Linked DNA regions of Macaca mulatta. The protein of the gene in region 1 interacts with the protein of each later gene in a pairwise test. Links are inferred from orthologs where the notes say so. Each region holds a gene or a part of one and is shown in the gene's direction. Other genes may lie near its edges.

Region 1 (4,331 bases):
CCTGACCTAAGGTGGATCCATTACCCACGTTACCTCAGCTTCAGGGCCATGTAGCTTACCCTAAGGTATGCCCCACACCTCAGCTTTCTGAAACAGCGTGTCCCATAGAAGAGAAGACATGGCCTTGGCCCACTTTCCAGCTAACTTGAGAGAGAAACTTTGCCTCTGTGCCTCAGTTTCCCACCTGGAGGAATGGTGTGAGTCACACCTACTCTGCAGGGAAGGCATGAGAAGCCATTGAGATAATGCCTTTAAAGTGCCCGGGGTAGTATCTCTGTGCTCTCTGGGAGTAAGTGCTGAATTAGTGGCAAATGTCTTTCTTGTTATTGCTCCTATTGTGTGTTTCCTGTGTGGGACTCTGGGCTGTAAGCTCTTCATAGGCAGGCAGAAGATCTGATGCTCAAGGCTAGTTCAACTCTGCCAGGTGGTTCATGGGGACTGTGACGTGGGCCTGCCTGGCCCAGAGAACAACCCAGATACTGACACACCCTGAGTGTGTACACCGTCAATCCTCATGGGACTGGCCAGCACACGGGGCCCCCGTCCCTGCCCAGGCACCCAGTGGGACAGGCACCCTCATCCAACCAAACCCATCAGGATCTAAACTAAATTCTTCCTCCTTTTATGTTCAAATTCATATAATTATTTTTGGAATAAGTAGTACATTTAAACTTTTCAAAATTTAAGACACCAAAAAATGTGCCATTAAAAAAAAAATCTCCACCTCAGCACACAGCTCCTTAGTTCCACTCCCAGGAGACAACCAATCTAAATTCCCGTTAAAATAATCAAACTTAATTGCTTCCCCCTTACAAAAGTCATGAGCATTCAGAGCAAATGCTAACTTAAAAAACAAAAACCAAACAAAACAGAAAACCACCCTGGAACACACAAAAGTACAAGCTGAAAATCTCACCCTCAACGCCACCATCCAGAGATCCTCAGCATTTTAGACTGCTTTCAACACACATCCACCTTACAAAAAATGAAAACAATGCAAGAGGAGATTCACAATATTGATTTTTCAACATCTCACTAGAATCTCAGAAATATTTCCTCATACCTTCTTCCTTAAATGACTTTAATAGCTCTGTGATCTTCCACAGATAATGATTTATTTAAGCAGACCACAGAAATGGGCATTTGGGATTTCTACGTTTTCCTTACTAGAAGCAGCAGTGATGGATGGGCGCTGTGACTCCACTGTAACAAATTCCCAGAAGAAATGCTGGGTCACAGGATATGACCACTTTTCAATATCCTGGCCTAGACCCCTAGATACCTACCACAAACCACCCTCTAGTCAACTGCTTTCCGCGATCAGCAGGACTAGGTGTCCAACCCAAATGTAGAGCTATTTGAGAAAAGGCCAACAAGTCTTGGTTCATAAACTTCTGAACAGCAGCTGTGAGGGCCTTAATCCCACCTCCAAATCTAGACTAAGGCCAAAGGCCTCCTCTGGGCTGGCAACCTGCCTTGTTTACCCAGCCACAGCCCTCACCTGTGCCCATCCCAGTCCAAGGTGAGTCAGCTGAACAGGGGATGGGCACCACCCTTCCCAGAGCAGGAAGCCAGCTGAGACAGGGCTATCTTCCAGGGAGGGAAACAGATTCAGCAGCGGCAGTGGCTGGAGAAGGTCGTGGAGCAGCACCTGGCCTGCAGGTAAGCGCTGGGGGCCTTGACCTGATCCTGGCTGGGACTGGGATGAGTGAGACCTGCCCTCACCCTGTCTCCTTCCCTCCCTGCCCCTTCCCTTTTGGGACTTCCCAGGCAACTTCATATTGAAGTGCTTCACTCCAGGAGTCAAGTGTGAAAGTGGGGTTTCTTCTTCTGATCCTAGCCCTGGGCCAGGTTTGATTGATGGCTGAGTGATTTTCTTCACCTAGACATCATGAGGGCCCCCGGTGCCTTCTGACTGCCCATGACTGTGCTCAAGGAGATGAGACCCACACTTTGCTCCTTGAAAGGCCAATTGCAGCTGAAACCAGAGGCTGCAGGCAGGCAAAAAGCCCATTTCTCCCAAGGAATCCACAGCCCAGGCCTCCTTCTCTGGCCTGAAGCTGTTTCTATCAAAAACCTTCCTGCTACAGCACTGAAACACCTGCTGGGGAACTGTGCCAGGGGCTTCACCTTTCTAAGAACTGGCTTCTTCATCTGGAGACTGAAAATAGCCCACAAAGTCAGGAGCATGGAATGACATACTGGACACAGGAGTCAGTGCATGCCCTCCTCGGCAGGGTCTCAGAAAATGGGGCAGAAAACGAGCCTGCTATGGGCTGGGCAGGCACTGGACAGGCAGCTTCGACATATAGTGGCCCAAGCTCATGACAATTCCACCACCATCACTTCCCACCTGGGCTCCTGCTCCCACTCCTGCCCTGTAGCCCATCCTCCAAACATCAGCCAGAGGAGGCCTGTCAAAATAACCCTTGTACCTTGGCACTCTGCTGCTCCAAATCCTCCAGTGGCTCCCATCTCACTACAGTAAATGCCAGAGTCCTCACCATGGCCTCCAGGCCCTCCAGGATCTGGCCCCTGTCACTTCTCCAGCCTCCTCTCCACTACTCCTCCTTACTCCCTCTCTGCGCAACCGGCTTCTCACTGGTTAGATGCTCTCTAAACGCAACACCAACTCCCACCTAAGAGCCTCTGCAATGGCTGTACCCACTCCGTTAGGCCTTTCCTCAAATGTCACCCCACCCCGCCAGCAAGGTTTCGGAACCTCCTGACATGACCCTCCATCCTGCTGTTTCTCTCCAGTGCCTCCCACCATCTAATATAGCACACAAAGTCACAGAGCCTATTTATCCAGCTCCTCCCCCAAAGAAAGTACATTTGGGGACCAATTCTTCTTTCCTTCACTGCTGATACCTAGAACAGTACTCAGACTTAGTAGGTGCTCAATAAGTAAGTGTTGAAACAATGAATAAACAGTTAACTTTTACTGAATGCCTATTATGTGCTAGGTACTGTGCTAAATGCTTTCCATATACACCTTATCTCTTTTTAAAAATCTTTCAGTCTCCAGATAACTGTGATGCAACTATTGTTATACAGATTACAAAGGAAGAAATGACATTCAAAAGGAATTTAACTATGCTGTGCTCTCACAAGTCAGAAGCAGTCAGTCTGAACCCTGCCCTGCCTGGGCCTGGGTTCATGAGGAAGTCGCACCTTTTCTCCAGCAGGCAGTGCAGCCCCGAGAGGAGGAGCGGGGACATGCTGGTGGCCTAGCAACAGCTTCTTCTATTCCGACTCACCATATCCCTGGGCTAATTTGGCCTTCCAGGAGCTATTCCTCTGACACTCTAACCCACGCTTCCCTCCCGCACACTGTCTCGTAAAGGATGGATGAGCTGTCCACAGGAACAAGTGGGAGTCTCATCACTTCAGCTCTTTGGAACAAAGTGTTCCAGAGTGTTCTCACTCTAAGTTCAAAGATGGGGGCTGAGGTCCCCTTGTCAGCCCTGCTGATCTCCGAAGCCCAACTACTGGTTTGCTGTGGGTGTTGTTATTGCTTATAATATCAAAAAGTACAGAAGCTCAGGGATGGAAATCTGGAAAGGGCTGTGGGAGAGGAAAATTCCTCTGGGAGAGAGGGGTTAGGTGGGTTCTTTTCCTTTCAGAGAAGCCAATTACTTGTGGGAAGCCATCAGCACAGAACTGAGCAAACTTCCATTGTCAGATTATAGGAGCCAGGCAGCCTTTCAACCTAACTCGTTAGGGTCGTGGTTTCTCTCCCTTTCCAGGCCCAGGTTATTCTTCGAAAGACTTTTTACTTATTGCCTGCAAACACAGACAGGCATGGGAAGAAAGACTGTATATTTAGGATATCAGGCTTTCTCTTCTCTCTGTGCCTGCTTTTCCACTCCTTTCAGAAATAGTAATGGGACGCCTGTTGTGTGCCAGGCACTGTGCTCAGCACTGGGGGTTAACAAATGAGTGACATTTCCTGACCAGTGAGGGAGATGAGCAAACAAACACGCACAAAAGAAATCCAACCCAGGAAATGCAGAAGGCCTTGCTCACAGTAGGTGATTAATAAACACTTGTGGAATGAATGATGAAGAGGCAAATAGAAGAAATGCTGTAGTCTAGAAAAGGGAGGCTTGCTAATCTCCATGGGTACATGTGGGGGAAAGCTTTGAACTGGAGGAAGAAGAGTTCACAACAAGGAAAAGAGAGAAGGCATGAATGACACTTAAGACAGAGGGAATAGCACCTGCAAAAGCATGGAGGCATGAACTAGCAGGCTGAGTTTTAGCACTCAACCTAAAGTAGTTTGGAATAAATGAATTTCATGATGTGTGGAGAAACGACGTGGTAACAAC
Region 2 (4,391 bases), on another chromosome or scaffold:
TCAGCCTTTATCTCAGGGATTTCTTTAGGAACTTCCTTTTCTTCATCTTTTACCTCAGGAATTTCTTTAGGAACTTCCTTCTCTTCAGCTTTCACCTCTGGGTTTTCTTTAGGGGTTTCTTCTTCCTCACCCTCTAAGGGAGGCATTTCACTAGGGGTGTTATCCTGCACCTCCTCATCACTGCTGAACTCCTCATCCTCTGAATTCCATTCACATTCTTCTTCTGTAGGCTCGTATTCTGCATTGATGATTTGAAACCGCCTATCATATAGAGGCTTGTTGAGTTCAGCATATTTTCTTTCAAGATCATGAATTGCTTTTAAGAACAGGGTGTCTACCTTGTCACATTCTTCTTGAATGTTTCTAAGCGCTTGCACACGATTTCTAACTGCCTGAGGCAGCCTATCCACGAAATTTGTTCCCAAGGGGGCCCGCCGCGCCCTGCTGGAAGGCTCAGGTACCCTCTTCTTTCTATATAAGCGGCTGCGGCTGCTAGTGCTGCCGCTGCTGCTGCTGCTGCCGCTGCCGCTGCTGCTGCTGCTGCTGCCACTACTGCTGCTGCCGCTGCTGCTGCCACTAGTGCTGCTGCTAGAGCTACTGCTGTCAGATTCTTCCCCAGAATCACTAGTCGAGCTAGCCATCTCCTCTTCGGCAACCCCATGGGCGACGGGTTCCGAGACCATTTTAAAATCTGCTTCTGCCATCTTGCAAGCCTGAAAAACTCTACCGCGGAGACCGCGCGACCAGAGATGGGCAGAAAATGACTCACGGATGCTTGAGTGGCGGCGGCGGAGGCCCGGGCTGCGGAGGTGGCAGCGGCGATGGCAGCAGCGGCGCAGAGCGGAGCTGGAGCTGGGGATGCAGAGGCCGGCGCTGAGGTGGCAGCGGCAGTGGAGGCCTGGGCGACAGCGGTGGCGGCAAGGCCTCTCCCGGCTGCAGCTACACAGTGCCGAGATGTACCGCAGCCGAATGGCGCAGTATGAGACCCCGAGATCTCTTCTCGTTTTAGATCGCGAGCCCCCTCCCCTCGCAGTCAGACCTCCCGTTAATTTCGTTCCCAGTGTGCCTTTAGTTCGCTCCTCATTTGCTGGTCCACCTTAATTGACAAACCGTACGCCCAACGAACGGCCAAACGCCACTACTCCTGGCTCCGCCCACCTTCCCAGACGCTGCTCGCCGGCTGAGGTGCGACCCCCTGGAAGGTGTCCCCGAGCCCCCCAAAAAGTCTATATTTATAGTTTTATAATTAAAAGAGGAAAAAAAAGCGTAGACATGAGGTAAAAATACCAGCCATAGTTCCTAACAAGGGCAGAAGAGGCGTGTCTTCCTTCTCCCATCCGCCCATCCTGAATTCCCGTTTAGTTTGTCACGGGTCTCTTGACAAAAATCTGTAAAAGAAAAAAAAAAAAAAAATTGAATGAAAATGGTCCAAATGGCGTCATTGGGTAGTGTGACTGTGGACGATTTAAAAACAAAACGATTTTCTCTAAATATTCTATGAGCAGTATTTTTACACTGGATAAAAAAGGGGAGAGTCGGTTATTGGCAGAGGGGGGAGGGACTAGACAGCAGGCGTATTGCATTCCACGAAGCTGATTTAATAAGTGCTGTCTGTGATGTTTGGCAAGCCTGGTTTATATCCATCTACAAGGTTTGCGAACCCATGTTGCCGTGAGTCAGTTACACCATTTTTATTATATTTCTCTTTTTAGGCTGGCATATTATATACCCCAACCTTGCTGCTAACTTGCCACGTAGCCCTTCTCAATGCTTGCAACAACCTTGTAGATAAAACAATGAGTGTATTAAATGTTAGGTAGTATTGTTAAAAAGCAAATGATTTGCGTTATACTTTTGTGCAGCAGGTTTCAATTCCAAGAACAGTGGGATGGGAGGGGGAATTTGTGCTAATGAATGTGCATCTTCTGTCAGTGTATGCGATGTCATCTGCCACCAATTTCCTTCTAATGTTGTAAAATTCTAGCCATACTATAGTATGATTTACAAGTCCAGTAATATGTGAATAAACTTTTGCAAAATGAAGTTTAAAAACGGGTATTTGTTATTTTTATTTACAGGATTTTTTTTTTCTGCTACAGAACAACTACCTTGGTACAATAAAAAAGACGAGTATTTACTTTTCATTGAAAGGTAAGGATCATATTTAGCACATTTTAAAGAATGACAAAAATTACTCATCTCCATCTGAATAAAAGTTTACAGGATGCAGTCATTTAGAGATTTATTTTAGATAATAATCTTGATAATTCTATGGAAACAGGAAAATCCACAGAGGTAATTTGGCATACTAATGTAGACAATAGCCTACTTAACCACATTAACTATCTTAACCTGGTCATAGAATACAAGTTGTAAATTAAAATATGAAATATGATAAATTATTCATTTCAAATGAGGAACTGTATTAAAGTTAGATTAATCTTTATAGAATTTGTGCTTTGTCATGTAGTCACGTTTTTAAAAGTTATGAAATGCTTTTCTGTCTCATAAATGCATTTACTTTTATTGTATATCTCTAATTGTCAAAGTCTGTGAACATTGCAAAGATAAAACCTCAATACAGAAAATTCCAACAGTAGTAAAAACACACAATCTTAACCACCAAATGATAAGAATTACTAGCATTTTGATGCACTTCCTTCTAGAAATTTCCTTGTGCATATACATACCTGCCTATTTATGTATACTGCTTTATCTATGTGATACCATATTATGTTTTGTAGTCTTTTCATTTAATTTATCAGTTACTAATGGCTATATTTTCATGGCAAATGATCAACATCTTATTTTTAAATAAGTGCATATTCCATGGAAATAATTGCCTTAATTTATTTGAACAGATTCCTCTTATAGGGTGGCTATTTCTATACCATCTCTCCCCTTATATACATATTATTTTCCTGCTATAATAAAAGTGTCCCTGGATACCTAAAGCATATATTTCTATGCACTTCTGAAAATTGGTCATAAGATAAATTCCTAGAAATGAATGGCCTGGGAATGATCATTTCATATTATGGAATTATTATTGTATACATATTGCCAAACTCTCTGCAGAATGATTATCACAATTTACAGTTCCAACAGTGCATAAAGGTTCATTTTTTTTGTCATTCAGCTAATATATTTTTGTGCCTGTCGTATGCTGGGCAAATGTGGTAGAGAATTGTAGTATAATGGTGAATGAAACTTACTAAGTGCATATCCTTTCGCTGAATAATTTTAATCAAAGCATATGTTATAGAAACAATGATTTACATCAATGGTGTTATACCATAAATATTGTTCTGAGACTCACTATTTCTTTTTAAATTATGGAGATTTTACAAAAAGTATGCTCTTATGTTTTAAACTTTGTAGCATCAGGAATTAGTATTTTAGAGTGAGTCATGAGGTAGGGATCCAGATTTTTAAAATACTTATTTTTATTAGCTAGCTAATTCTTCTAGTACCATTTATTTGGTAATCTTTCTATCTCCTGCTTACTTGAAATGCTACTTTGATCACATTAAATAAATTGCTTGGGTCTGTTTCTAAATTCTTTTCTGATCCATTAGTTGCAAACAACTAATGAGTCGGTGTTAAGATAACTTTACATTTTGTGAAAATGATATGTGTTCATTGATAAAGTCAGACAATACATTGAAATACAAAGAAGAAATTAAAAGTAACTCAAAATAAAACTGAGAAGTAATCACTACTTACATTTACATTTGTAATCAACATCTCCAAATTAATTTATCAATATTAGTATTTGTATTTCTTAGATTAGTGGTAAGATTGTGTTTTCATATGTTTATGTTTATTTGAGAACTGTCTATTCATATTTTTTGTTTTCTACTGAATTAAGCAAGAAGTTAATCAATGGTGAAATCCTAAAGGTAAAATGATTTTGGCCTTGACTTACTTAAGACAACTATGATTTCTTCAGGAAATAATGCATGATATTGGGCAAATGTGACTAAATTTCATATTAAAATTGGTTGGGTTTTTTTTTTGGGGGGATGCTTGGGGGTTTTTTTGGATGCTTTTCAAGGATTACGGATAACTACTTAACCACTCACACTGATCCTGGAAAAGTTTGGAATGGAACATGGAGATGAAAAATAGAAAAAAGCTTACAAAAGCATCATATAAAAATAATGTATTAATCAACAATTGTGATTTTCAATTTGGAATTATTTTTTCCTAGATATAGGCAATGAAAATGTTGAAAGTAGATGATTTTTTCTAATCACAATTCTCTACTTTAATTGTGTATCCATAAGTATCTTGTAACACACTTTTATTTTTGTAGCTTTTTTTTGGTTGATTAGTTTATTTAATTTTATGTAGTAGGTATCTAAAATAAAATAAGCTTTTTCTTCATA

What was found.
Region 2: the proteins of SDCBP2 (region 1) and FAM133A interact in binary tests that used the Homo sapiens proteins (3 or more experiments, as listed by UniProt). The two-hybrid records come from large-scale screens. The link is inferred for Macaca mulatta from reciprocal best matches to the Homo sapiens genes SDCBP2 and FAM133A.

Annotation. Positions count from the first base shown.
Region 1 is NC_133415.1:82,823,942-82,828,272, forward strand, and holds the start of SDCBP2 (syntenin-2), read left to right. Parts: upstream 1-1,518; 5' UTR 1,519-1,662; intron 1,663-4,331.
Region 2 is NC_133426.1:99,944,223-99,948,613, forward strand, and holds the start of FAM133A (protein FAM133A), read left to right. Parts: upstream 1-1,567; 5' UTR 1,568-1,671; intron 1,672-2,078; 5' UTR 2,079-2,151; intron 2,152-4,391. Other genes in the region: NAP1L3 (nucleosome assembly protein 1-like 3), read right to left, coding at 1-704.